7 linked regions of the Coturnix japonica genome follow. The protein of the gene in region 3 interacts with the protein of the main gene of each other region in a pairwise test. Links are inferred from orthologs where the notes say so. Each region holds a gene or a part of one and is shown on either strand. Other genes may lie near its edges. The genes, in order: RAD54B, VCP, PSMA1, MTUS2, CCNH, TRIM23 and TRIM54.

Evidence for each region.
Region 1: the proteins of PSMA1 (region 3) and RAD54B interact in a two-hybrid assay, tested with the Homo sapiens proteins (2 studies listed by BioGRID and IntAct). The two-hybrid records come from large-scale screens. The link is inferred for Coturnix japonica from reciprocal best matches to the Homo sapiens genes PSMA1 and RAD54B.
Region 2: the proteins of PSMA1 (region 3) and VCP interact in binary tests that used the Homo sapiens proteins (3 or more experiments, as listed by UniProt). The two-hybrid records come from large-scale screens. The link is inferred for Coturnix japonica from reciprocal best matches to the Homo sapiens genes PSMA1 and VCP.
Region 4: the proteins of PSMA1 (region 3) and MTUS2 interact in binary tests that used the Homo sapiens proteins (3 or more experiments, as listed by UniProt). The two-hybrid records come from large-scale screens. The link is inferred for Coturnix japonica from reciprocal best matches to the Homo sapiens genes PSMA1 and MTUS2.
Region 5: the proteins of PSMA1 (region 3) and CCNH interact in binary tests that used the Homo sapiens proteins (3 or more experiments, as listed by UniProt). The two-hybrid records come from large-scale screens. The link is inferred for Coturnix japonica from reciprocal best matches to the Homo sapiens genes PSMA1 and CCNH.
Region 6: the proteins of PSMA1 (region 3) and TRIM23 interact in binary tests that used the Homo sapiens proteins (3 or more experiments, as listed by UniProt). The link is inferred for Coturnix japonica from reciprocal best matches to the Homo sapiens genes PSMA1 and TRIM23.
Region 7: the proteins of PSMA1 (region 3) and TRIM54 interact in binary tests that used the Homo sapiens proteins (3 or more experiments, as listed by UniProt). The link is inferred for Coturnix japonica from reciprocal best matches to the Homo sapiens genes PSMA1 and TRIM54.

Annotation. Positions count from the first base shown.
Region 1 is NC_029517.1:114,217,223-114,220,722, forward strand, and holds part of RAD54B (DNA repair and recombination protein RAD54B), read right to left. Parts: intron 1,807-3,500; coding exon 1,519-1,806; intron 1-1,518. UniProt on the Homo sapiens protein: Involved in DNA repair and mitotic recombination. May play an active role in recombination processes in concert with other members of the RAD52 epistasis group.
Region 2 is NC_029547.1:7,814,908-7,818,149, forward strand, and holds the end of VCP (transitional endoplasmic reticulum ATPase), read right to left. Parts: coding exon 2,962-3,242; intron 2,039-2,961; coding exon 1,883-2,038; intron 1,523-1,882; coding exon 1,368-1,522; intron 967-1,367; coding exon 861-966; 3' UTR 501-860; downstream 1-500. UniProt on the Homo sapiens protein: Necessary for the fragmentation of Golgi stacks during mitosis and for their reassembly after mitosis. Involved in the formation of the transitional endoplasmic reticulum (tER).
Region 3 is NC_029520.1:14,580,474-14,583,673, forward strand, and holds the end of PSMA1 (proteasome subunit alpha type-1), read right to left. Parts: intron 2,660-3,200; coding exon 2,580-2,659; intron 1,674-2,579; coding exon 1,569-1,673; intron 720-1,568; coding exon 663-719; 3' UTR 501-662; downstream 1-500. UniProt on the Homo sapiens protein: Component of the 20S core proteasome complex involved in the proteolytic degradation of most intracellular proteins. This complex plays numerous essential roles within the cell by associating with different regulatory particles.
Region 4 is NC_029516.1:157,076,712-157,080,211, forward strand, and holds part of MTUS2 (microtubule-associated tumor suppressor candidate 2), read right to left. Parts: coding exon 3,067-3,500; intron 1-3,066. UniProt on the Homo sapiens protein: Binds microtubules. Together with MAPRE1 may target the microtubule depolymerase KIF2C to the plus-end of microtubules. May regulate the dynamics of microtubules at their growing distal tip.
Region 5 is NC_029547.1:54,306,395-54,310,436, reverse strand, and holds the start of CCNH (cyclin-H), read right to left. Parts: upstream 2,801-4,042; 5' UTR 2,700-2,800; coding exon 2,583-2,699; intron 2,475-2,582; coding exon 2,352-2,474; intron 885-2,351; coding exon 811-884; intron 518-810; coding exon 307-517; intron 33-306; coding exon 1-32. UniProt on the Homo sapiens protein: Regulates CDK7, the catalytic subunit of the CDK-activating kinase (CAK) enzymatic complex. CAK activates the cyclin-associated kinases CDK1, CDK2, CDK4 and CDK6 by threonine phosphorylation.
Region 6 is NC_029547.1:14,354,269-14,358,478, forward strand, and holds the start of TRIM23 (E3 ubiquitin-protein ligase TRIM23), read left to right. Parts: upstream 1-1,410; 5' UTR 1,411-1,448; coding exon 1,449-1,547; intron 1,548-1,904; coding exon 1,905-2,067; intron 2,068-4,210. Other genes in the region: TRAPPC13 (trafficking protein particle complex subunit 13), read right to left, coding at 1,024-1,069.
Region 7 is NC_029518.1:95,417,684-95,421,686, forward strand, and holds the start of TRIM54 (tripartite motif-containing protein 54), read right to left. Parts: upstream 2,801-4,003; 5' UTR 2,734-2,800; coding exon 2,566-2,733; intron 2,426-2,565; coding exon 2,253-2,425; intron 1,860-2,252; coding exon 1,688-1,859; intron 1,594-1,687; coding exon 1,498-1,593; intron 1,254-1,497; coding exon 1,020-1,253; intron 934-1,019; coding exon 911-933; intron 757-910; coding exon 632-756; intron 549-631; coding exon 456-548; intron 317-455; coding exon 278-316; intron 1-277. Other genes in the region: DNAJC5G (dnaJ homolog subfamily C member 5G), read right to left, coding at 3,366-3,448, 3,687-3,831. UniProt on the Homo sapiens protein: May bind and stabilize microtubules during myotubes formation.

The sequences.
Region 1 (3,500 bases), on a different chromosome or scaffold from region 3:
AGTACTAGAATAAGACTTAGTTTTTGACAGAGCAGTGCATAACAACAAAGAAGTTCATTTGAGTACAGAATATATCAGCTCTTTGCTAGATTTTAGATTAGAAAGCTAATGCAGAATCGTCATGAAGGTGCCTCATTAGACCAAACATAATCAAGCTGAATTCAAACTAGAAGACAGTGCTAATGAGTTTGCACTTATGGAAGTGCCAATGATATCGCTAATTACTATATAATCAACATATCATTGTTTATTTACACAGTTGTTAAGTAGCAGCTTTGTCAAGATATGAGGTAAAAAGCTGGACAGAGCTATAACTATAGAAATAATGTAGAAGAACTCTCCTTTTTAATATTTCTTTAAAATCATCTTTCTTTTTCATCTGAAAGATAAAGCCATGAGCAGAATTTACAAGGCCTGCTCTGAAAGTAACGTCTCCTATTTTATTATGTTGGCCTATGATGTCAGAGGCAGATGTTGGTGGTATAGCAGCAGAGACTGAAGCTTCCCACCAATATTTCATCACATGTTGTTGCCATGCAACAGATGGCAGCAGAGGGGCAGTATGACAAAACAGCATCTGGCACGGAAGTGCATATGAAGCAAAGGTGTGCCACTGAATTGTAGCCACAGGCCTTCATTGACACTTGTTGAATGTTTGTGGATGTGCTAACAGTGCTAACAGTGGGTGTTAGCACAGTGAAGTGGTGAGTGGTACATCTGAACACTGACAACAGCAGTGTGAAAGACAAGTCATGTTCTGGACAGCCATACAACAGCCATATGACAGCCAATTTATAAGTGTGGCATGCAGGCTACAATTCATTTCTGGCAAAAATGCGTGGCCAATGGTGGTGACTCCATTGAAAAATAGTATTCTGAAGCTCATAATTTGCTCTGTCTGATAGTGTTACCATGTGCTTCATATCTGTTGTAGTTTTCACAGAAATAAGTAGGAGGCATTACTTTCAGAGTAACCTATGTCATTTAAGAATTCTCATGATTCTTCAGTACAGGGTAGTTCAAGTATTACATAAAAAAACTTTCATTCCAAAACATACCTTGTTGAGTTTGGGGCAGTAAAGTTACACTCATTGGCTGTTACGGATCAAGCAGCATCAGGAGCAATTATCCACATTTGGCTGAACTGCTCTATTACTGACCCCACTGGGAAGCTGGAACTCAACTAGAACTTTTAGTATATGTCAGATTGTTTCTCTGAATGACATACACATTTTTCTTGGCAGAACTCTCAGAAACCACTTCTACAGAAGAAACCACTCAGAAACCACTTGCTTCTACAGCCATCTGTAACATCTGTGAGCGAAAGTGATGCAGTGCAGAGCATTCTACTTGTTAGAAACACACGATAAAATCCTAATATTTTGTTGACAGAAAAACCGCCACTGTATTTCAGAAATACTTCAGTAATACAGTAAGGAATGTGAAAATTCTGGTTAGACACTTAACTTTCTTGAGAGCCAAAGGGTGCTTGAATAAGCTTAAAACTTTGAACCTTACTTGTTTCATTTGGATTGTGACGAGGTTTGCAGCTCTGAGAATTGAGGAGAATATTCTCTTTAGTACTGGGTTGGCAGGCTCTTTTGATTGGCTTACAGAATTGTTTCACAGTAGTTTGAGATAAAGCAGTTGGGACTGTTGCATGAGTCGCTATTCCAGTCTGAAAACACCTGCCACTGCTGAAGTCATCTGCTGAAATTACACCCATCACTTCAATTTCTTTTCCTCCAATCATCAGCGTTTGACCTTCCTCAAGACTGTCTAACTCTTTAGATTTATATCCAGTACCTAAAAGAAGATAAAAATTTAGGAATTAGAACAACACAGCAAATACTACTTCCTTAACATCAGTATTTATCTGCACGAAGGATTAATAAAACTGTCAATAGTTCTATCTCTGTGCAAGATCATTTGAATTCCAGACTGAAAAGCTTAGTTCTAAGTCAGGATGGGCTTTTTGGGTAGATGTGAACCTAAGAAAGACAAAAGGTGAATCCACAAAGCTCAAATGTTTATGCAGCTGCCTGAAATAATTATTTCCATAACACACAGTAAATTAAAAGAGAGGGTTTCCTAGATTCTTAGTAATATACTATTAAGAATTTAGGACACTTGCAGAGAAGAAGAGCAAGAAGTTCTGCTGTCTGGCCTCAAAAACAATCTAAAGCCAAAGCTGTTTTTAGGTTTCCATATTCCTTCTTAAATCCTGCCCTGGTGTGCCTAAGTAGAAAATAAACCAAAACCTTCCTTTAAATCCTTTTTTTTCCACTTAAAAATAGTAATTCTGGAAGCTCATTCACATTCACTGTAAAACTGCTAGTTTTAAATGCAGTTTTGGAGATAAACACCACTACCCCTCACTCAGAGTACCTTCAGAATAATTGAAGAAATTTTAAAGTTACACTTGGTGTACAATCGGTTACAATTGGTGCATTTATGTTTTTCTTAGAGCAGATCAGCATTAGTGACGTTGATACTGCTGTGCTCCCTGGCACAAATAAACACAAAAAATTGTAGCACTGGGAATCAGAATATCTGTTTTCCTACTATGTTTTCTGCTAATTCAAGAAGACACAACAGGGTGGTGGCTGATGCATTCCAGGCATTGCTCTCTTTCTCTCTGCCTTTTACATACCCAAGCAAGTCTATACTTATATTGCTTCTCTATAACTGAATTTGAATTAACTTCTAAGTCTCTGATTTAAAAGTGTGTGGTGCTAACAAGGTTCACAATGTCATGATTGTAATTAAAAGCGCAGAGTACCCAAGTCGGCCTCCAAATTAATCAAATTATATCTTGTAGAAACACTGTCCAATCCAAACTCCCTACTAAATATGCTCAGCTTAGTTAGCAATGCTAATTCTTGCTATTCTTTCAGTAAAAAATACTACCTCAAACTGACTGCAGCCTACAGTTTGCAAGTCTTATTTTTAACTCTGATAACAACCCAAACTGTGTCTTACAGCAGCAGCTGCTGCTAAAACTGCAAGACTAAAAATTGCTACACAGTTGGCTTTGGCTGGAAAATGCTGCTCTTCTTTGTCTTTCTAACAAAGATAATGGTTTTAGTTGCTTGATTGGCTGTAAAGTACAGATCCAAGCTCAAACATTCCCAGTTCCCATAGTACTGACTGGAACGTCTACAGGAAACTTACCTGTCTACCTTCTTAATTCTCACACCTTCTCCAATGCAGTACAAGAGCAACCAAAATCAACTCCTGCCTCCTTTAGCATCTCTGCTGAATTAGTGCAGCCCCATTTCCAGATCGTCTCCTTGGACTATGCACCATTTGGTGCTTCTGCGAAGAATGTTACACAGCCTACTCCAGACTCCCCCATGCATCTGCTTTATATGTAAGAAACATTAAGCTTTCTTTCCATCTCCCTCACTGCAAAAAAAAATTCTAATCTTTGCTCATCCTGTGGTCAACTTTGGTACAGATAACTCTAAAATATCTAAAAAGCCTCTTCTCTGTTATTC
Region 2 (3,242 bases), on a different chromosome or scaffold from region 3:
CGAGCTGGCAGTGCTGCCCTGATGGCATCCAACCCAGGTGGTGCAAGGACACACAGGCACAGCGCTGGGACGGGTCTCTGAACTAGGACAGAACACCCGAGCAGGCTCTGCCTCCCAGGGGCTCCCACCGCCGCCTCCTGCAGCCACCAGCTGCTGGTTGTGCTATTTAAGCACTGCTCTCAATTTTGGCTCCTTTTTCCAGTCTCCCCTTTTCCCCTGGCTAGCCCCATCCTTCCTGCCACACTGCGATTCCTCTCACCCCTCATTTCCTTCCCTTTAAGTCCAGGTCATCTGATGGTGCCCTTCTAAATGTCTTTACAGCCAAATCCCCATGGAACTGCCCAGCAAACCTATGGGCACCCTCATTGCTCATTCCTATGCACACAATCCCTATTTACTCATCTCTGCAAAAACCCCAATCCTGCAAGCCCCGGAGAGAGCACACAGCTACTCTGTGCTTCTGACAGCCTAAACACAATCAAGGAATTGCAAGAGCCCAGTTAGAGTTTTGTGGGATTTTATTCTTTTTTTTTACTATTATTTTTGTAGGGTTTTTTGTGTTTTTTTTTTTAATACAGGCTAGCGTTGCACCCTTTGCTAAAGCTGCTGATTCTGCCACATAAACTAGAACAGAAATTTCTCAGAAATTAATTCGGATCCCCTTCTTGTTAATTCACTGTCTGCTTCACAACTCAACATCGGTCTGGATTCGTGTTTGCAGAAAACATCCCCTTTACAAAGTCTGGCGTGCACCTACACTGTTCTGACTGAGGAATGAAGAAGCCAAGAGTCCATTGAACGTTGGATTTTCCCTGTACAACGTGGCCTGATCTGGAGTTTGGTCCACTGAGGACAGTGAGTTAACCATAGAGATCATCGTCGTTGTCTTCACTGTACACGTTGCCCCCGCTGCCACCTCCTGTTCCTTGACTCGGCCCAGCGCCTCCCTGGTTGCCTGATGGGAACCTGCACACAGCAGGGCAGAAGGGAAGAGATGCAGTTCAGAAGCATCCTCACAGCTCAGCACAATCCCCTCCCTCCACATCAACACCCTGATGCCAAGAAGGAAAATCAGGAGAAATGTGAAGCTTATGGCATGTCACGATAAGGCTCATGGTGGGGCCAGATGTTGCTTGCTTTAAAGGAAAAAGGGTTGATGGGCTTCAGGAGCACTAACAGAGCACCTGCACCTGGCCTGCAGTGCAGCTTGTACCCACCACAGGCTCAGCTGTCTGTATGTGCTGGGGAGAACAGGAAAAAGCAGTGGAAGAGGGATTGTTTTCAGAATACACCAATCCTGCCCTCACTCGGCGCTCTGCTCCTGGGGCTCACCACGTCACACTGCCCTCCCCACTGCCCTCAGTTACCTGAAGCTGCCAAAGCCGCGGCTCTGCTGTAGAGTCTGTGCAAACATCTCGTATTTCCTGATGTCGTTGTCGCTGACAGAGCGGCGAGCAAAGCGCATGGCCTCCTCAAAGTGATCCCTGCGGATCTCAGGAACCGGGTCGTCCTCCTCCACTTCCTGCAGCAGGACAGAGAGCTGAGATGAGCCACGTGCAGCTCAACACCTGCCCACACCTCCCTCGGGGTCAGGATGCATCAATACCCACTGAGGCAGGGGCTAGAGAGGGATGCTGCAGCACACTGACTCACAGCTGCTGCAGGGGCCTGCTGAGCAATGCCAGTGATGAGGCACCATAGGAGGCCCTCACCCTCCCACAAGAAGAGAACAAAGTGCTCCAGCTCAGCACTCTGTGCCAAGAGCCTACAGCCTACTCGTCCTCATCTGAGGATTACTGAGAGAAACACATCATCCCTCACCCACAGGCAGAGGTGGGCTGCCTATCTCGTAGGCAGGGAAAGCTCAGAGTGCCCCACTCACCATGGCAGAAGGGTTGGTCTGCCTCTCGCGTTCTCGTCTGATCTCACTCTCAATGGACTCTCGGATGGCCAGTTTACAGGCACGCTGGCAGATTTCTGTCAGGTCAGCCCCCGAAAAGCCATTGGTCATCTTGGCTAGGAAATCCAGGTCAACATCCTGGCAAAAACAAAACACAAGAAAAGCTTTTACACTTTGTACTCTCAAATGACAAAGAGGTGCCTTGAGATCTTACAGTAACAAGGCGCTACCTCAACTTTGGCCAGTAGGAAGAAGGCAAGCTGTTAAGGCTCCTGTTCCTGGTAGAAGTATGCTACACAGTAGGGCAGGCCGTGCTTCCCCCCACACCCAGCAAGAACCTGATACGTGGCTACAAATGTCCCCCCTCTGTTCCACCTTCAGTAAGAGGTAGGCTGACTTGAGGATTTCAGCCACAATTGGTTCAGATCTCAGCAAAAGAAATCAATGGAACCGTTTCAGACTGGAAATGGAGATGGGGCAAAGGGAGATAAAGAGGAACATCCTCCTCCCTTCAACTGACACAGTGGCACTGGAACCTCCTTTGAAGCTTTCCTTCCCAACAGTACTCAGAAAGCTAAGCTTGGCCTAAGGACGTTTGTGTGCTCACTTTGCATCTGCTTTTCTCTAATACGTTCTATCAGTTCATTATTGCCTGCTCCCTAGGCAAGGGATATAACTTTGTCTATGAAAGAGTTCAGCAATTAACTGTAGTGGTTCCTCTTCAATTTTCATTTCCCACCCCCGTTTTCTACATTTACTTTTTCAGAGTACAAGAATCCTTTCCATCTTGCCATAACAGGCATTTCCCATTCCTGCACCGTGGGCAGAACTCTACTATGTGATAAAGACCTGCTGTGCGTACACACTGCTATCTCGCTGCACTGGTACTTAGTTTTAGATCTCAAGCCTATCCCTACCTCTTCATTTCCATCTTTCAGGAATGGAAGGTTTCCAAGCTCTGTGTGTAGCAGCCACCAACCCTCTGTTTGCCCCCAAATCATTGGAAATATGTGCAGCACATAGCAAAATCAAATCAGATACAGCATCAGCACAGATCCTACCTTAGCAACTGGTGATTTCCTCAGGTTGGCTTTAAGAATAGCAACCCGGGACTTCTCATCAGGCAGAGGGATGTAGATGAGTTGATCCAGGCGGCCAGGGCGCAAGATGGCTGGGTCAATGATGTCTGGCCTGTTGGTAGCACCAATGATGAAGACGTTCTTCTTGGTGGACATGCCATCCATCTCTGTCAGGATCTGGTTGATAACACGATCTGCAGCACCACCACCATCTCCAATATTCCCACCTCGAGCCTTTGCAATGGAGTCCAGCTCATCAAAGA
Region 3 (3,200 bases):
CCGGAGCCGCGCACCCACCGTGAGGCTGCGGTGCTGCCGGCAGCAGCCCGCTGGGGTCGGACGTGGTGTGTCGGGGCCGGGCCCGCTGTGCTCTGCCCTGCGGCGCTTCGCTCCCGCTTCGGCGATGGCTGACGTGGAGCCTCTCCCTCCCGGCACCTCGGCGCTACGGCGGCCGCGGTGGGACGCGCCTCCTCCGTACAGAAGAACGAGAGGCGGAGCCACTCACAGCTCTGCCGCGTGGCCGACAGGGGCGGAGCGCCATGAGGAAGGAGCAGCAGAGCCGGGAGTTCCGGCTGTAGTGTCACACCCAGGCGGTCACTGAAACACCCCGCGATCCCAGTTCCCAGGTCATCCCAGATCCCAGGTTCCCAAAGGTCATCGACTCCCACTTGTCCTTACATGTTAAACACAGCAGGCGTCCATCAAAAACTGCATCTTCTGCTAGTTAGAAAATGACAACCCCTTCATTGACAAAAGAAAACAAACCCACACAGCACTGCTGAGCTCCTTAAGGATAGGTGAGTTGGTTTATTTCGTTTTTAAAAGCAATCCTCAGAACGTGTCAGTATAAGAGACATACAGGTGAGGATACAGTTACCACCAGTGGATAAAAGCCCCAGTGCAGCAACACGGATGGCAGCACAGAGGAACCCGCCCACCAACTAGTGCTCCATGGGCTCTTCTGCCTTCTCCGCAGGCTCGTCAGCAGGCAAAGCAGGCTGAAAGAGAGGGAAAAGATGTGTTATGGGATTATCCACAGTCAACACAAAGGACAACGCTGTTAATTAGATGACCTGAGGGTGCACTCTGCCACGTGCACAATAACATGCTGTTAAAGAAAGTGCAAAACACTACCACAGATGAGGAAAAGGGCCTGACAGTGGCAGGAAGGGCTTGCCACTAATTCAGCCTAAACTAACTTCAACAAGTCCATCAGTCTCCAGCTAAGGGGACGGTGGTGTATCCAATTTTCATGTAGGAACTTCTAGCTTTAAAAAATCACATCCCTAAAAATGATAGTTTACTAGAAGAATTAAATGCCAAACAAAAACAATACATCTCCAGTACAAAAAAGACAAGGATCTCTTGGAAAGAATCCAGCGGAGGGCCACTAAGATGGTGAAGGGCCTGGAGCATCTCCCCTATGAGGAGAGACTTAGGGAAATGGTTCTGTTAGGCTGAGAGGGGATTTGATCCAGGTTTATAAATACCTGAGGTGTGGGGGCCATAGTGGTGAGGCTGGTCTCTTTTCAGTAGAGCGTGGGGACAGGACTAGGGGTAATGGGATGAAAGTACAGCGTAGGAAGTTCAGCACAAATGTGTGGAAGAACTTCTTTACAGTGAGGGTGACGGAGCACTGGAACAGGCTGCCCAGGGAGGTGGTGGAATCTCCTTCTCTGGAGATATTCAAGACCCGCCTGGACGCCTACCTGTGTGACATGGTGTAGGGAGCCTGCTTTGGCAGGGGGGTTGGACTCGATGATCTCTAGAGGTCCCTTCCAACCCCTACAATTCTGTGATTGTACAGTGCTGTCTTTCAATAAAGCCCGCTTCTATTTAACACATACCTTTCTCTGTGGTCTCTCCTCAAGGCCTTCTAGGAATGGTGCTACATCATCATCGTCATAAATGGTGAACTCCATGTCTTTGCCAACAATCCCAATGGAAACATTCTGTTCAGCAAAGTTTTGACAGAAGTGAGAAGCATTTCTCTGCAAAATCACTTTCACTTGTCAAACAGACAAAAGCATCCCACTGCAGAAGAGGGTCCCTGTGCTATTGTGCCCGCTTAAGGAAGAAAGGCAATTCTGACTAACTCCCTTTAGTAGATTGTTCTCAAGAAGGAAAGGGAGGGACATTTATTCCCTACAAAAGGTAGCACGTTTCAAAAATCTTAACAGGAAAACCATTCAAGGGTTTTTGCTTCCTTTCCCTCCTCCCCTTCCTTCCCCCCCCTTCTTCTTTTTAGTAACAAATACCTGACTTTTCAAAACTGATTTTCATCAGACTTTGCATTGTTGTTATTGTGAGAGTTCTAGAAAACAGCAAGGCAGGCTAAGAATGAAAAATTTAGATCAAACATAGATAAGGGCGAGACCAGCCACAAAGAGAACACCAGAATATGGTAACAAAGCTGCTTAAAAGCTTCTTGCTCAACAGTTGCTCACTTCATTTCCTGTCTAGGGTTTCTGCAACTCATGATCAGATGCTGGATACTCAAACAGCTTGTGTATTACATTCCCTTACCACCCCAATTAGTGACTGTGCTTACAATGCAAAGCTGACAATTCCAGTTGTTCACAATGCACTTTAAACACAGATTCAAGTTTAAAATATAATGAAGCAGAAAGGGAAACAATCCCTTATCTAATAAGGTATCTCTCCCATAAAGAAAAATAAATCTCAGATAGTAAAGGAAGCACTATGTAAATCACTATCATCTTCATTTCATTTGTTGCTATCTAGAAAGTTTTTAGCTCCCAGGTTTCAGTGCCAGCCATACTTTACAGCAGCTTTGCTGCAGTCATTACTGAGAACAATGGCAGTGAAATTTCTCATTAAGAAAAACTAGCATTTACCTTGGTGGTCAGATCCTGTTCAGCAGGAAGAGTCTCTCTTAGGGCACGCAGTCCATGTTTAACTAGCTCGTTTAGATTACCTTAAAAATGAAGCCAGAAAGGTACCTATGAAATACGGCACTTATCCCCAGACTCATTTTCCCTTTTTTCCATTCTCGGCTGAGAACCAGAAAATTAAATTGCACAGCTTGACTTTCATGTATTCTCCTTTGGTATTTGTGAGACTGAAGACACAGCTGCTAAAAAAAGTACATCATCAGGAACCAGCTTTTCCCTACATTTGAGGTTGAAAGCACCTGTATTGTCTTCAGTGCAGCAATAATCAAGCTATTTTCCCCTTTCACGTTGTTGTTTCATATTAATTCACCACCTAAATATTTGCCATGTCATACCATACCTGCTCTGACACACAAACAATCTTCCTATTCTTTAAATGGAACAGAGGTTTGTTACTTTTCACTTTGCTTTTCTGAGCACAGCTTCTCTTTTGATTAGATCTAATAAACATGCTGATGTTAGACATGAAGATCTGTAATATTTTCTCTATGGTTTTCCTCTTCATGCAGATTTACACTTATGCCAAACTCAGCCCTCAACATTTTCTTGTCTTACTAAACGCAG
Region 4 (3,500 bases), on a different chromosome or scaffold from region 3:
TCTCATATTGGCTGCCAATAAATATAACAAATGTATTTATGCCAAGTACTTCATTATGAGGAGCAGGGAAAATCCCTAAATATAGAACGCAGGCAATTCTAATAAACTGGGTCAGCTTAATGAAACCTCCAGTCACCTCATTTTCATCTTTATTGACAGCATGCTACAGGTAACACAGATTTATGCACACATAACAATCACAAGGATAAAACATTTTCTCAAGCTGAAAGAAGTAAGAAGGATTTACCCAACTGTCTCTCAGGAAATAGATTTGGTTCTTAGAGATCTGAGCTCACAAAGAGACGTAAACTTGTTAATAAGACACGTTCCTTTTTCTTTTGTATTAAACAATGAATTCCTCAAACGCAGGATTTAACTGGTTCCCATAGAGTCATATGCAACTATTGATCATAAGGCCACTACAGAGCTGCTGAAACAGATTTGGATTAGTACAGCCCATCCACTAACAGGAAGCTCAGCTCAGAACTGTACTGTGCATTCCCCACTCCTCCCATTTAATGAACTTGTCAGAAAGAGCTGGAAAGTCTGCAAGCAAACACATGAACCATTTGGGAATTTCCACAGCCTGGGTAACTCTGAGCAGATACGGCAGCCCTGCCAGGAGGTGAGGCTGCTTAACACCTTCCTTCATGTTGCTTTGTTTATAACACTGTCAGACATTAAAGCCTCAGAGACAGCCCTCGAGCCTTCCTCAGACAGGTCATGCCCAAGACAACACCTCCCTGTTACTTCCAGCTCACAGCACCAAAGGGGGCATTTAATTGTGCCTACTGCTTAGCAAGCTGATGGCTGCTTAGAGATTACAGGTCTGATTGATAGCAGCTATTAACAGCCTCATCATAGCTATGTAAAGAAAAATGCTGATCAAAGCCCAAATTGGATATGTGAAATGGGGCGGTATGTGAATATTTCCCTCACAAAGTTGATGTAGAGTAGTCATCCTGCCCCAGCATATCCTTGTCTACAAAAGCTTTGAGTCTTCAACACTGCCAGTCTGCCAGGGTGATTCTGATATACCTCAACCCATTCCAATTGCTTTCCTTTCACTTGAAAGACCCACTCAGTCATATTTACAGGGGGATAGGATGCTTTGGTCCCTCTCCAGAAAATAAATGTTATCCTGCTAACTCTACTGTAGAGCAAACCACACTGCATACCTGCCATAACCTCAGTACTTTTCATGTACATACTCCTCCACAGTTAGCAGAAATTGGTCCTTAGTTTCCAGCTGTGTTAGCTAATGTTGCCTGATTTTCCAAATAGCAACAGTATGGACTGTAGAAAACTATGGTCTAGAGAATCAGAGAATCATAGAATGGCCAAGGTTGAAAAGGACCACAGTGATCATCCCGTTTCAACCCCCCTGCTATGTGCAGGGTCACCAACCACCAGACGAGGCTGCCCAGAGCCACATCCAGCCTGGCCTTGAATGCCTGCAGGGATGGGGCACCCACAACCTCGTTGGGCAACCTCTTCCAGTGTGTCACCAACCTCTGTGTGAAAAACTCCCCCTAATATCTAACCTAAACCCCCCCCGTCTCAGTTTAAAACCAATCCCCCTTGTCCTGTCACTATCCACCCTCATAGACAGCCATTCCCCAATCCTGTTTATGTGCTCCCTTCAACTACTGAAAGGCCACAATGAGGTCCCCCTGGAGCCTTCTCTTCTCCAAGCTAATGAAGGTCATGTCACCCCATAAAAAGCCAGACAGCTGCACAGCCTGCATTACACTGGTTTTAACTTCAGTTAAATGGTAATAATCCAGCAATTTTCTCTCAACTTGCAGGGAGATTGTGAAGATACCCTAGTAATGGCTGGCACAGACAAGCTCACAGTGACTTTATTAATCTGTCCTCTGGATGAAAAACATAAGGCATGGACTATGGAACCTGAATGGGAAAGGCAGCAAGCACTTTGCTTGAGATGTGATAATACTCTTACCAAAATCTGTACTCTAAGATCACCTGAACAGTTGTCTGTTAACATGCAAGAAGGGCCAACCAACAGTCACACATGAGATTTTAATGTGGGTATTTGCTGGCTTCTGATTGTCAGCTCTGTCACCAAATGTGTTATTTCAAGGCTGTTCCATGGATAAATACTGTATATAGAATGAGGTAGGTATATAAAATGAATAATTGTATTTATTTTTTTTAATTTTAGAATTGGTTAAAATTAAATACAGTTGTGGGATCTTTGATATTTACATAGAAAGCTTTTCTGTTGAGCTAGCTACCATAGGTCCAAAGCAGTAGACTCAAGGGCACATCACAGACCTAAATATAACCCCCTCTTCCCTGTCCTTTTCACCACCTACCAAGCAACATCAACATTGAACAACTGTGCCCAACTCCCAGCAGGGACTAAGGGAGCCTGCACTCCTGCCTGGCTTACCAAAGTGGAAACACAACCAGATATAAGGTCCCAGAAGTGGGCAGTGGGACTTCCATTACCTTTTGGCTGCTCAGGAAGACTTTCCCAGGAAAGGTGTTTTCTCATTTAAGATGGTAGGCAATACAGAACACTGCTTAAAATGAGTCAAAAGGAAATCTTTTCCTGCATGATGTATATAATCTAATGAAATCTGACAGTTCCTGTTTTTCTGTATAGCTGAACAGAAGCGAATGCATATGGACCGCTAGCGCTTGGACTGCAAAAACCAGCCAAGATTCCCATTAAGGAGGAAAAGTTTCTGCAGGCAAATCACATTAATTTCCAAAAGATGTTCTTTGGAAAAAAAACAGAAGATCCATTTAAGGATAAATTCAACCAGCACACCTTTTCCTATCTAAACATCTCTATTTATACACTAGCAGGTGACTTGTATGCTGGGAAATGCTGGAGGAACACGGTGACAACTTCCAGTCACAGATCAGACACCACATCAAGGTCAGTGCCAGAAAAGGTTACGTTTATTCCTACTGATCATGTATTGCTTTGCTTTAGGATTTACTTCTTCGTGGTTTGAGAACTAACTTCTGGCAGCAACAAGTAAGCAAACACTCACAACCCAGCACACAAAAGTGTCAAAGCCACCTGCTTACCTCCTGCAAAAACTTCTCACCCATTGGGCCAAAGTGATGACCTGGAGGCCTAATTCCTGACACTACCAGCCCAGAACTGAAGAGTCTTGGCTTCTGGAGGTCAGGTTTAAATTTGTCATACAGGATGCTGGGGGCCTTCCCCTCCCCTCCACCAGATGCCTTCTGCTCTGTGGAGATGGGCACTGTGCATGCTGCGGTACCGTATGGCAGCCCTGCTGGTGCAAATGAAGGGTCAAGCTGCTCTATTGAACGAGGGTTTCTTCTGATGTATGTGATGATTTTAGGTCTCACGGGTTTAGGCTTGGGTATGGCAGGTTTCACCTCCATGCTTTCTTCCAGTTTCTCACTGCAGTCACTGTCAGCATCCACCTTATCTGTGAGGGAGCCCTTGGAGTGAACCAGGATAGGTTTGGGGATTGCGCTGCTGCTGGCAG
Region 5 (4,042 bases), on a different chromosome or scaffold from region 3:
ACTTCAGGATTTTCTATCAATGGGTACCGAGTCTAGGAAATATTTAGGAAAGTTAAGTAGCTATTCCTGTTACAGTCTGTGAGCTCAACACACAAAACTTAACAATTTTCTGTAAAGCAGAAAGGTAACAAGCCATATCATCCCAAAAATAAGATTTAAAGACCACAACAAAAAAACACCTCCTTTCAGAAATCATCTGCCTATCACTTTAGAATCTACATCTTTATGAGTGCAGAAACAAAAACATAAAATCCATATTTATACTGCATTAACATATGAAGTACATAGCAGATAAAACAGCATTACCTTCAAATCAATTAAAATTCCCTCAAATGGCCTGTATGGATTGTGTACAATAAGATGGAAGTTCAACTGCTGAATAAGCAGTAGTTCATATTCCAGTATCTGTTCAAGAGCTTTTTCTTGTCCAACAGGGCTTTCTCGAAGGTTACCAACAAACTGAGCACTGGACACGTTAAACTCATCTACTTTGCAGGCTAAAAACGCACACGTTAGCCTTGAGTAGTTTGGGAGAAAGAAAGAAAAAAAAAAGCAAACAATTAATACATGCAGCATCCATCCTCTTATCAAAAGTTCTGTGCACATTTATTATTATTATTATTTAAAAATTTTTAAAGTACTATATTCAGAATAGAATAAACTTTTCCAAGTGGAAATGGAAACTGACCACACTCTACTTGCATTTAAGGTCTCCAATTTCCTTTCCTATTTATTTAGTGTCTTAGCAAATAAGGTTGTACTTCTATTATTCTGATAGGTACAGAAACTCATGATGTGTTGAAAACTCACATTATTATCCGAGGATGGTACTCCATCACTGAGTTATTGAGATAAAAACGTTTGAAATACATGCAAGCCGTTCCCTTGATTTTCAAAAAGAGAAGGAAAGAGTTAAACGTTGAAGTAAAAATGGATTAAGAAACAATAATTTAAAAAAAAAATCATGAAACAGAGAAAGTCAGAATGTGTACTATTAGCACACCAGATGCACAAACACGTCACTTAAAGTCATTTAAAGTCTAATTCATTTATGCACGCAAAAACTTTATACCATAGCAGTTTTATGTCATTTTTATATGTATTTTTAAGAAGACAGCATGTGAATAGTCTAGAATACCTTCGTGACAATCTCATCTCATATTAAAATGAAATACTTCAGTCCACTATTGCCAAGTTTCCAAGTTAACGTGAACTCCATCAGCACACATTTCCAGCCACTTATTAGTGAAGCTTGACTCCGCACACACACCTTACAGGGGCCAATTCCCAAATATAAGGATGGGTTTCATAGCACCAGCAGCCGACTGTGCATGGCCAAAACACATACAGACAAGACACTCCTTTTTACTATTCACCACAGCAGCCAAAAAGAGGGACTTCTGGGGGGATGCTTCTGAACAAGCTGACAAGTGAAGCACAATTCAATTCCCTGCTTCAGCTCTAAGCCCTCCTTCTTCCCTCCCTCTCAATGCACTCATGCAAAGTCACTGAACAACTCATTTTTATATGCTCTGTAGATTATTGCCCATACAGGCTCTTGAGATAGCTTGCTTTGTACTCAAATGCACATCATTGCGCAAAGAAAAAACTATATCATAAATTCAGTTCTAGGTTAGTTTCTACTCTCTGCCTAAGGAAGAGGAAAGAATGAAGTTAAATGGTACTGAGCCAGCACAACGCACTTTCAGCCTGTAAGACCAACAGTATCCAGAGCTGCAGCAAAAGAGACATACCTGTCACAGTCAACTCTGCCCTTGTGAGAGCCCAGGACTGGGGTCACACACTCAAGATGTGTGGGTCCAGAGGGAGAGCATAGAGATGATCAGAACACATCTCTCCTACAATGGCAGATTGAAGCTGGGCTCGCTCAGCCTGGAGAATGCTCCAGGGAGACCCCAGTGTGCCATTCCAGTACCCGAAGGGAGCTCACTAGCAGGAGAACCAACTTTTTACATGGCCCAATAGTGACAGAGCAGGGGGGAGTCGTTTTAAACTGGAAGGAGTGAGATTTTAATTAGAAGTCGGGGAAATTTTTAACTGTGAATGGTGAGGCACTGGCACTGCTGAGGGCCAGGCTGGGTGGGGTCTTGGGCAGCCTGAGCTGGGGGGACAGCCCTGCCCACAGCAGAGGGATTGAAATGGGTGGGCTTTGAAAGTCCTTTCAAACCAAACCACTATGTGATTCTACAAACACCCACCCCAAGCTGGAAGGGACCCAGCAGGCCTACGGAGCTCAACTCCTACAGGACCACCGAGGGAACCACGCTTTTCCCGGTCGGCAGAGCCGTGAGGAAGCAGGGGTCGCCTCGCGACAGAACGCTTCTGCTTACCACTACAGACCGCGGCATGGCAGGCTTGAAGACGGCACAAAAATCCAGCAGCCTCTTCTCGTAGTACTTGCATATCGCCAGCTCCTCGTGGGCCTCCAGCAGGAAGGACTCACCCTGCTGCACCTGGGGGAAAGACGCCGACCTGAAGATACCCGGCCTGGGGCCGCCCCTCTCCCCCTGAGGCCCCGCAGAGCCGGTCCAGCCCGCTCCCCCCTCGTCCCCGCTCCGCACCTTCCCGCCGGCAACAGCTTTGCTACGAAATTTGCGGTTGGCTTCGGCCCGGCTCCTCGCCAGCTCCTCCTCACTGCGGAAGGTCCAGAATCGCCGCTGCGTGCTGCTGTAGAACATGGCTGCCCCGCCGCGAGCCGGCTGCCACGGCGCGACAGGCAGCGCGCAACCGGCACCGCGGAGCCCTTGGAGCTGTGGGGCGGAACAGCGCAACGCCCAGCGCGGCAGCAAAGGGGGCGGGGAAACATGGCGGCGGGGCAGGGCTGTGGTAGTAGCTGTGTGTGGGGATGAGGGCACGCAGTCCAGCCGTCAGATGGGAGAAGGGAATGGGAGCGGTGCGAGTGAGAAATACACGGGCATTGTTACATTTTCATGTATTTGTTATTAATAACCACAAAGCCTGTCCCTGACCCCCAGCTGCCCTCTCTCACCGTTCCCTCTGGCCCTGTCGCTGTCACACAGGGCAGAGCTCAGCGCTGACAACCCCCTCCTAATGCAGCTCCTTAACACTGCTCTGAAGTATGCTGGAATGATCATTTCAGTTTCATTTTCATCAGTGTAGCTATGAAACCATGTAATCTATCAGCATCAAATGGTGATATGTGTATGGGGGGGAAAGAGTGAGGAATCATTTGCGTTATGCCAAATGAAATCAATCTTCGGTATTTTTCAATTAAATATTTCAGAATAAATGATCCTCTTCCACCTTGTTCTCCTATATAATGCCAGGACTTGTGTCATTGTTGCTAAATTGTACCCTGCAAGATTGATGTATATTCTCCATTAATTTCCCTATGAAGGTGATTTAACAACTTGTCATGTTAGCTAGTCCTTCCACTTTGCCAGTCGTATGGTTCTCCCCTGATTCCAATGGAAAAGGACTTGGGCGTACTGGCTGATGAAAAAATGATCTGGCAGTGTGTGCTTGCAACAAAGAAGGCCAACAGTAAGGAAGCCCCTTATTACAATCACGTAGGAAAAAGACTGTGTCATCTACAAGCCAGAGAAGAGGATGTTATTTCCATGTTCAAGCCATAACTAAATGTATGCCACCTCTAGAAGAGATTTTTTTTGCCAGTTTTCATGACAGAAGTATTTCCTGTAATGCAATTAAGTTTACCTGGAATTAGGAACTATGACCACTTTTCTTGATCTACCATCTTACAAGGGCTATGCCATTTATCTTCAGTTTTCTCATTCTTCTGTTAAAGTTGATGCAAATTAACCTTGTATTTGCTGTTGTTTTTTGTTTGTTTGTTTGTTTTTAATGACAAAAAAATTTGAAGTTCTATGCAGTGGACTCTGAATGTAAAAGAATTATGCTGATTCTTTAAAGGAGATATAAACTGAATTTAATTCAATGTGATAATTCAATAGTGATTTCAAAGAGACAGAATTCATTTTTCCCATATTTCCACTGAGTCTGAAGTTAGTTAATTTCCTTTTAAGCCTAACCTCAAATG
Region 6 (4,210 bases), on a different chromosome or scaffold from region 3:
CAAATTCCTTAATCATGTCATTGTCAATATTTTGTATAAAATAGGGAAAATGTAAAGATATTCAGATATCCTTCTGATTTCTATTTGCAAAATATACAGCCTGGGCAGTGTATCAAATTCAATACAAGCCCAAGGATCCTACTGATTTCTTGCAAGCAAACTGTCATGCCATACAACTTGTTCCTTTGTATAAGTTACTAACAAAATGTGCTGGTAGTAGCAGCTGACAGTATTTCCTGCACTCATGTTTTGGCTTAGACACTGTCTGTGCACATGCATGAAAAAGTGGTTGCTGATATGTGAATTACGGTTAATAGATCTGACTATAAGATGCTGAAAACCCTCCCAAAAAACACTGTGAAGAAAATAAACAAACAGAATATGGAGTCTAACATCATCTATGCACCTCCACTGCTTTATGTAGCTGAGCCATCTCACTTAAAATACACACGCAGATGAGGCTTCAGCTGTTCCCTACTCCACCTTAATAGCGATGCTTATTTCCAACAAGCACTGTTCAAGAGGAAGGTAGATTTACTTCCACTGACTGCAATCAGGGGCAGCTACATTCAGGGTTTTCAGTGCTTCAGTTCCTAACTCGATGGCACCAAAGTGCCTGTTGGCACAACCAGCTTCTTTATAGAAATCTGACCATTATTTTTGTTGCTATCAGCTCTAGCTCTGTGACCTCATGAGATCTACCAATTTTTTTCTCTCAATCAAGAATCTGAATCAAGAATACAAGCCGGCGGCTGCTCACTGAGGGTAAAAGCCATAAAAGGAAGAAAAATCAGGAAACTATAATGTTAAAACATGAAAAAAGAAAAATAAAATAAAAAAAAAAAAAGAAAAAAGTAAAAAAAAAAAGAAGTTAGAAGTGCTGAAGCCTGTGAAGATCCCGGTTCGCCAGGCCCGTGGCGCAGCCCTCCTCCTCCCACCCGTCGCTCCCGAGCCGTCCTGTGCCTCCTGTGCCTCAGGGGCAGCAGCTCGGCCCCGGGCCGCTCCCAGGCTCAGGGTCGGTACCTTTCAGTGCCAGCAGATGCTCCTGCTTGGGCTGGTTCACGTCCATGGTGCAGCCTGAGGCCCGAGCGCCGCAACCAGCCGAGAAGCGCGTAACCGCAGCGCGGGCAGAGCGAGCACCGCTGAACCCGGAAACAGCTGCTCCACACACGCCCCGTCATACACCGCCACGGCGCCACAAACTACAACCCCCACAGGGCCTTGCGCCCGCTCAGCCCACATCCCCCGTCCCGAGGAAGGCGGGTCCCGCGGGCAGCCCCGTGGCGGTGCATTCTGGGAGCTGTAGTTCTGGAGGGTGCCCAGGCGGCGGCCTCGCGGAGCACGACGGGAACTGCAGTTCCGCTCTCGGAGGAGGCGCAGGAGAGCGCATGCGCACACTGAGGAAGGGGTGCTGTCTGCGCGGCCCGCTGTGCTCCGCCCCGTCCAAGATGGCGGCCCTGGCTGTAAACAAGGCTGCGGCTGCGGCCGGGCCGGACGGCGGCCGCGGAGCTGGGAACAGCTGGGGCCCGACCGGCGCCGCCGTGAAGGTGAGGCGGGGCCGCTCGCTGCTCTCGAGCCGGTGCTCTGCTGTGCTGTGCTGTGGCGGAGGTGCCTGCTGGGCCCGGGAGGAGGCGTACCGAGCGCTCTGCAGGGTTTCCTCAGGCGGTGTGTGCCGCTGCGGTAGGGCCTCGCTGCTCCTCCATCGCACCGCGGGGCTCCGGTGAACGGCTGCGGGGCGGGAGGCGCTCGGGGAGGCCCCGGGTGGGGGCTGTGTCCCTGCTCCTCGCGGGAGGGCTGCTCCGTGCTGCTCCGTGCTGCTTCCGTTGTGTTTTTGTCTTGTTTCGTTGTCTTGTTTCCCCCCCCCCCCAGCCTGGAGACAGATGGTATCTTTTCTAAAATCGTAGGTTCTCGAGTGCGGAGTCTGTGAAGATGTGTTCTCTTTGCAAGGCGATAAGGTTCCTCGGCTGCTTCTGTGTGGCCATACTGTGTGCCATGACTGCCTGACCCGGCTTCCCCTTCACGGCAGGGCTGTCCGCTGTCCTTTTGATCGGCAAGTTACTGAATTGGGTAAGAGAGCTTAGGCCTGAATTTGTTAAGACCGAACAGAATGTTTAAAAGACCAGCAAGCCTTAACAGGAAATGTATAAAGGCTGATTTGAGTTTGTAGGCTGGCAGTGTGTGGTATCAGAATTTTTACTGTTGATAGTTTTGATTTGGCTGCAAATGGATGAGAAGGGTTTAGTACAGTAAAATGCATGGCTAGATAATGTGTGTGGATAGTACACAAAACCAAATAAGATGAATGTACTAGTTGTATTTGTTTTGCAGCATTCCTCCTGTACTCTGAAATGCTTTTTTTTTTTTTTTTTTTTTTTCCACTGAGAGGAGTGAGAGAGATCTCATTAAGATTAGGTAATAAGTTTTTATCTTCTCCTTGAATATAGGCTTGCAAACACCTTGTTTGTGAGCCTGTGTTTACAAAGTGACTGGTCTGTTTTAAATCCCTGTTTAATGATTCTTGAGAGGATATCAGTTTCCTGTTGTCCTAAACATTAAGTAGACCATACAGTTACGTAAGTTGTTTCTCTGTCAAACAAATTTGCCTGGATTCACAGTGGAATGATAACAAACCTGTTTGTAAAGTATATGGTAATTCTAAGGGTGATAGAACTTAAATTGGCAGGCTGTCTACAGGGATTTTATTACTTTAGAAATGTGTCTCAAAAGATCAGATATGGTGTTTATTCCATAGTGAGAGTTTATTTCAGGCATATGCTAGTGATTGTGCATTCAACATAGAGTTAAAGAAAGGACAAGTTACTAGAAGAATTTGTGTCAAGGTTAACTTGTGAACAGAGCTGTCTGCAGTAGCTTTGAATAGCACAGTGGATAAAAATATTAGGATGGCGGAGAATCCATGGAGCAGGAGATATCAAATGTAGTAATGCATGAAATAAATGTACAATTATCAAATCAGCATGAATACGTATTTACTTTGAAGTGATAGTCTGCTAGAGTTAAAGAAATATTAAATGGAAACAAACTCAGAAGAAACATCAGCATGATGTGAAAAAGTTTTGTTTGTGGTAGGAGAGGTGTGGATGGTATGTGATTGAAAGAGGATTGAAAGAAGTTTATTTTTTTATGTGACTGTACATCTATATGGGGTTTATGTATGTATGCTTTAATAGGGAGCGTGTGTTAGTCTTGCTGTTGTGAAACTTCAGCGTGAGCCAGCTGCTTGTATCTTGTAAATGGGGAGCAGAGCTTTTTATTGTAAGGGGGCGTTGTCACTTTGTGGCTCTTACTGTGTGATTTCCGCCTGACAATTGGAAGCATCCTACAGTAATTTTTTATTTTAGTTTCAGTTTTAACCAAAAATTAAGTTTCTTCGTCTTACGTAACAACTAGTGGTTTCTGATGGAACAATGTGAAGTGTTAAATTTGCAAGGCTTCTATAGAAAGGTAGTGGGAAGAAAAGCTGAAGCTTTCATTTCTAGGATAGTAGGCTTGCAGCTTATTGGATGGTTCTGGAAAGAAGAATGATATGTTGTGATCAGCTGTTGCTCAAAAAAAAAAAAAAAAAATTAGCAAAACAACCTGAGAGTCAAAGCACTTCTGTGAATGAAAATGTTTTGCCTGATGGTTTGAAGCAGAAGAGGGTCATGGCAACATTTCATCTAATCTGTTCTGTAAGTCCTCGGGGAATAGTAGAATCATAGAATCACCAAGGTTGGAAAAGACCTAAAAGGTCATCCAGTCCAATTGTTCACCCATTACCAATAGCTCCCACTAAACCATGTCCCTCAACACAACATCCAGTCTCCCAGGGTCTCCCCCAGGGTCCCAGGGTCGGTGACTCCACAACCTCCCTGGGCAGCCCATTCCAGTGTCTGACCACCCTTTCTGAGAAGCAATACTTAAGTCCAGCTTGAATCTCCCCTGCTGCAGCTTGAAATCATTCCCTCTAATCCTATCGCTAATGACATGAGAGGCCGACCCCCAGCTCACTACAACCTCCCTTCAGGAAGTTATAGAGAGCAATAAGGTCTCCCCTGAGCCTCCTCCAGGCTGAACATTCCCAGCTCCTTCAGCCTCTCCTCATACGGCCCCATTGTGCTCCGGACCCCTCACCAGCTTGGTTGCCCAGCTCTGAACATGTTCCAGGGCCTCAATGTCTTTCTTGCAGTGAGGTGCCCAAAACTGGACG
Region 7 (4,003 bases), on a different chromosome or scaffold from region 3:
CTCTCCTCATCCTCACCCCATCCCCTGCCACCCCATCCCTATCCTATCCCCATCCTCACTTCCTCCCTCCCCACTCATCCTCACCCCATCTCCTGCTACCCCATCCCCATCCCATCCCTGTCATATCCCCATCCTCACTCCCCCCCTCCCCACCCATCCTCATCCCCATTCATCCTCACCCCATCCCCACCCATCCTCATCCCATCCCCTGCCACTCCATCTCTATCCCATCCCCATCCCATCCCTACACCCTGCTCATCCCCACAGAGCATCTCACCATGGGGAGAGCTCAATGGCTTCTGCCTTGGCCCCACATCTGTAGAGAAAAAGCATTGGACAGGTGGAGAGAGGGACACATGGTGAGACCATGCACCGTACATGGCCACGCCGCAGCCACGGCAGCACCGTGGTGACTGCGGCACAGCATAGCACGGCACAGCACAACACACTCTCACCTTCAGCAGCCTCAGGTGCCTCCAGGCTCTCCTCATCCCCTGCACCTTCACTGCTGTCTGTGGGTCCATCTCCATCATCCTCACCCAGCGCTTCTGTGGGGCAGAGGCACATCTCAGTGTGAGGACATCCCTGCTGCAGTCCCCTCCCCAAGGCAGCGCCCGCCCCATGCTGGCACCTGGCTGGAAGTCGATGGTGCGCAGCATCTCAGCCACATGGTCCACATTGATGGAGAAGTGGTCCATGCTCTCATAGCCGGGCTCAGGGCGGCTGCTCATCGACACCTTGGACATGTCTGTGATCCTGGGGGTACAGCAAGCAGCATCAGCCCTGCCCACCCACCCCCCCATGCCATCCTCATCTCATCCCCCTCCCCATCCCATCCCATCCCATCCCATCCCATCCCATCCCATCCCATCCCATCCCATCCCATCCCATCTCACCCTACCCCACTCACTTCTTCAGGAGCTCCTTGGAGTGCTGTGGGGGAAAGCAGAGTGCCGTCAGCATCCCAGGAGCAGCGCACCAAGCCGCAGGGCGCCCCGCACACAGCCCCCCCCAGGCACCTGCAGGTACACGGCCATCTGAGGTTCCTCCATGGCCTGGATGGCCGTCTCCACCAGCTTGGAGGAGGCCTCCAGGTGGTCCCCGTACTGTCGGATGAGGCCGCGCACGCGCTGCACCTTCCCCTCCTGCTCGCGGGCGATGCTCTGCAGCAGCTCCTTCTTGCGCTCCTCCAGGATGCTGCAGAGCGAGTCGAAGCGCAGCCCCACGTGCTGCTTCTGCCGCCGGCCGTTCTCCTGTAGGATCCCCCCCCGGGGGCTCAGGGGGCTGCCACGCTCCCAGCCCGGCCCCACAGGACACCCCTGTGTCACTGTGCCCTGGGGACACCCGCGTTCCATGGCTGCAGTGGGGATTTCCCTCCCAGGAGCATCCCACCATGTGGGCACAATACACCGGGTGGGGGTCCCGAACCACGCAGACCCCACACGCGGGGCCTGGGGGGGGGGTGTGGGGGGGAAGGCACACACAGGGCAGCCCCACCTCAGTGCTGCGGCAGGAATCTTCCAGCTGGGAAATGATGGTCTGGATGCGGTCGTTCCCCGCTACTAGCATGGAAATGCAGTTGTTCAGCTCGCTCTGGGGGGCGGAGCGGCGTCGGGGGTCGCACCGGGAAACCCCTCCCACCGCGCCCGCTCCATTGACCCCCCCCCCGGCTCTGGGGGTCACCCACCTTCTGGCCCTGGAAGATGCTCTGCAGAGGGGCGACTTCGCAGTCCTTGTGAGCACCGAAGACCTTGCACATGGAGCAGGTGGGGACCTCGCAGGTGACGCAGTAGATGTTGATCCTCTCATCCTCATGATCCTTGCACATCAGCTGCTGCTCCGCCTTGGCGTGCAGGGGGCTGCGACGGGAGGGAGAGGGCGCTGCGCCCCACGGCACGGCCCCACGGCACGGCCCCACGGCACGGCCCCACGGCACGGCCCCACGGCACGGCCCCACGGCACGGCCCCACGGCACGGCACACGGCACGGCCCCACGGCACGGCCCCACGGCACGGCACACCTCTGCCCCGTAGCATCCCCCGCCTCACTGCACCCCCAGCCCCACAAGTTTAGCCCCAATACCCCCCCACCCAGGCTCATTCCCCCTCGTGTCCCCTGCACAGCCCTCCATACCACACAAGCCACGGCATCCCCCGCCCCACCTCACCCCACGGTGCCCTTGAGCCCCTTTAGCCCCAATCACCCCCCCCCCATCCCCACGGGCTCCCTCCCACGCGTGTCCCGCCCCGCACCGCGCCGACTCCTGCTTGTAGATGTCGATGATGTTCTCCACCAGCAGGTTCCTCTGCAGCCCGTACACACCGTGCCGGTCCAGCAGGACCTCATGGCGACACGTAGGGCAGCGGAACCGGCCCCCGGACGGCCCCGCGCCGGAACCCCGGGACTGCCACAGCGGGTTGGAGGCCTGGGGGGGCAGGGGGGAAAGGAGAGAGCAGGGCAGGGGGGGAAGGAGGGGTTAGCGAACCGCTCCGAGACAGAGATCCCCCCTCCTCCCGTGTACGGAGCCCCCAACCCCGGGCACAGCCCGGTCCCTGCGCCCCGCACCTGGAAGATGTCGTTGGCACACTTGCGGCAGAGGTTATGCTGGCAGGGCAGGATGACCACAGGCTTGCTGAACATCTCCAGGCAGATGGGGCACAGTAGCTGCTTCTCCAGGCTCTCCATGCTTCGCGCTTCCGCCAGCAGCGGCTTCAGCCCCACGGCGAAGTTCATCGCCGCGGTCCCGGTACCTCTCCGGTACCGCTCCGGCCCCTCACTGCCCCGCTCCGGCCCCGCAGCGCTAATTTTAGCCGCCCCCGCCCCGTCGGGGCCGCGCAGCTGTCGGCGGCGTCGGGTGACACTGAGTCACGGCGGGCGGCCGTCCCACCGCCGGGGTCACTCCGTCCCGACGCCCCCCGGGAGCGGCACGGCGCTGCCCCCCCCCAGCCCGGCTCCACAGCCGCCGCTCCGAGACGAGAGAGCGACACCGCCGAGCTCCCCCCCATCATCCTTTAATGGTGCCCATATAACATATACAAACCCACGGAAAGTGCCTGAAGGGTCCCAGCCCCATAACGAGCGCGGTGCGGCCCCACGGCGAGGCAGAGTGGGGCGCGACGGGAGGCCCCTCTCCGACCCCTCCTCCTCCCCCCCCATACCAGCCCCAGAGCAGCGTTTGGCACCCAGCTCCCGTCAGGGGGGTCCGGCCCCGGGGTTACAGTGCTACCGGTCTCAGTCACAGCGCTGTAGGACGGTTTCACCTGAGATTGTACACCCCCCTCCCCACCCCACGATGGGGTCTTGGGAAGCGGCGGTGGTCCCGGAGGAGGCTTTACCCCCCACCCCCCTCCGGCACATAGGTGGCCCTATGCCTCGCTCCTGGCTCCGGCAGCAGGCAGGGGCTGGGCGTTGCTTGCGGGGGGCTGCGCTTCCACCGGGACCTGTGGGTCTGGAAAGAAAATGTGTGGGTCAGTGGAACCAGGAGGGAGTCCTGGGGTCCTGGCAGCGATCCGGGGCTGCCCCTGGCACCAGCACGGCCCTCATGTCTCTGTTCCTCTGTTAAGGAAACCGAGAGAGCCCCCAACCCACGTGTCCCACCAGCCCCCGAGCCCGGTGCAGCCCCCCCTGCAGGTCTCTGTGAGCCGGGAGCATCGTGGGGGGGGTCACCATTTTGGACCCCAACTCACCGCCACCATCGTCCGCCTCCAGGTCCTTGGGGTCGACGTACTTATAGGACTCGTCCTCGCGGGGTGGGCAGCACTTCCCGCAGCAGAAGAAGCAGCAGCAAAAACAGCAGCAGCAGGTCAGCAAACCACAGCACAGCGCCAGGGCCTGCGGGATGGGATGTCACAGCCTGAGGCTTCCCAGAGACCCCCGAGGCTTCCCCGAGACCCCCAATATGCCCTAAGAGCTTGGGATTGCCATGAGACCCATGGGGCTGCTCTGAGACCACAGGGCCCAGCTGCCATGGAGATCCCCTGGGCCACTATCAGACCCCAGGGCC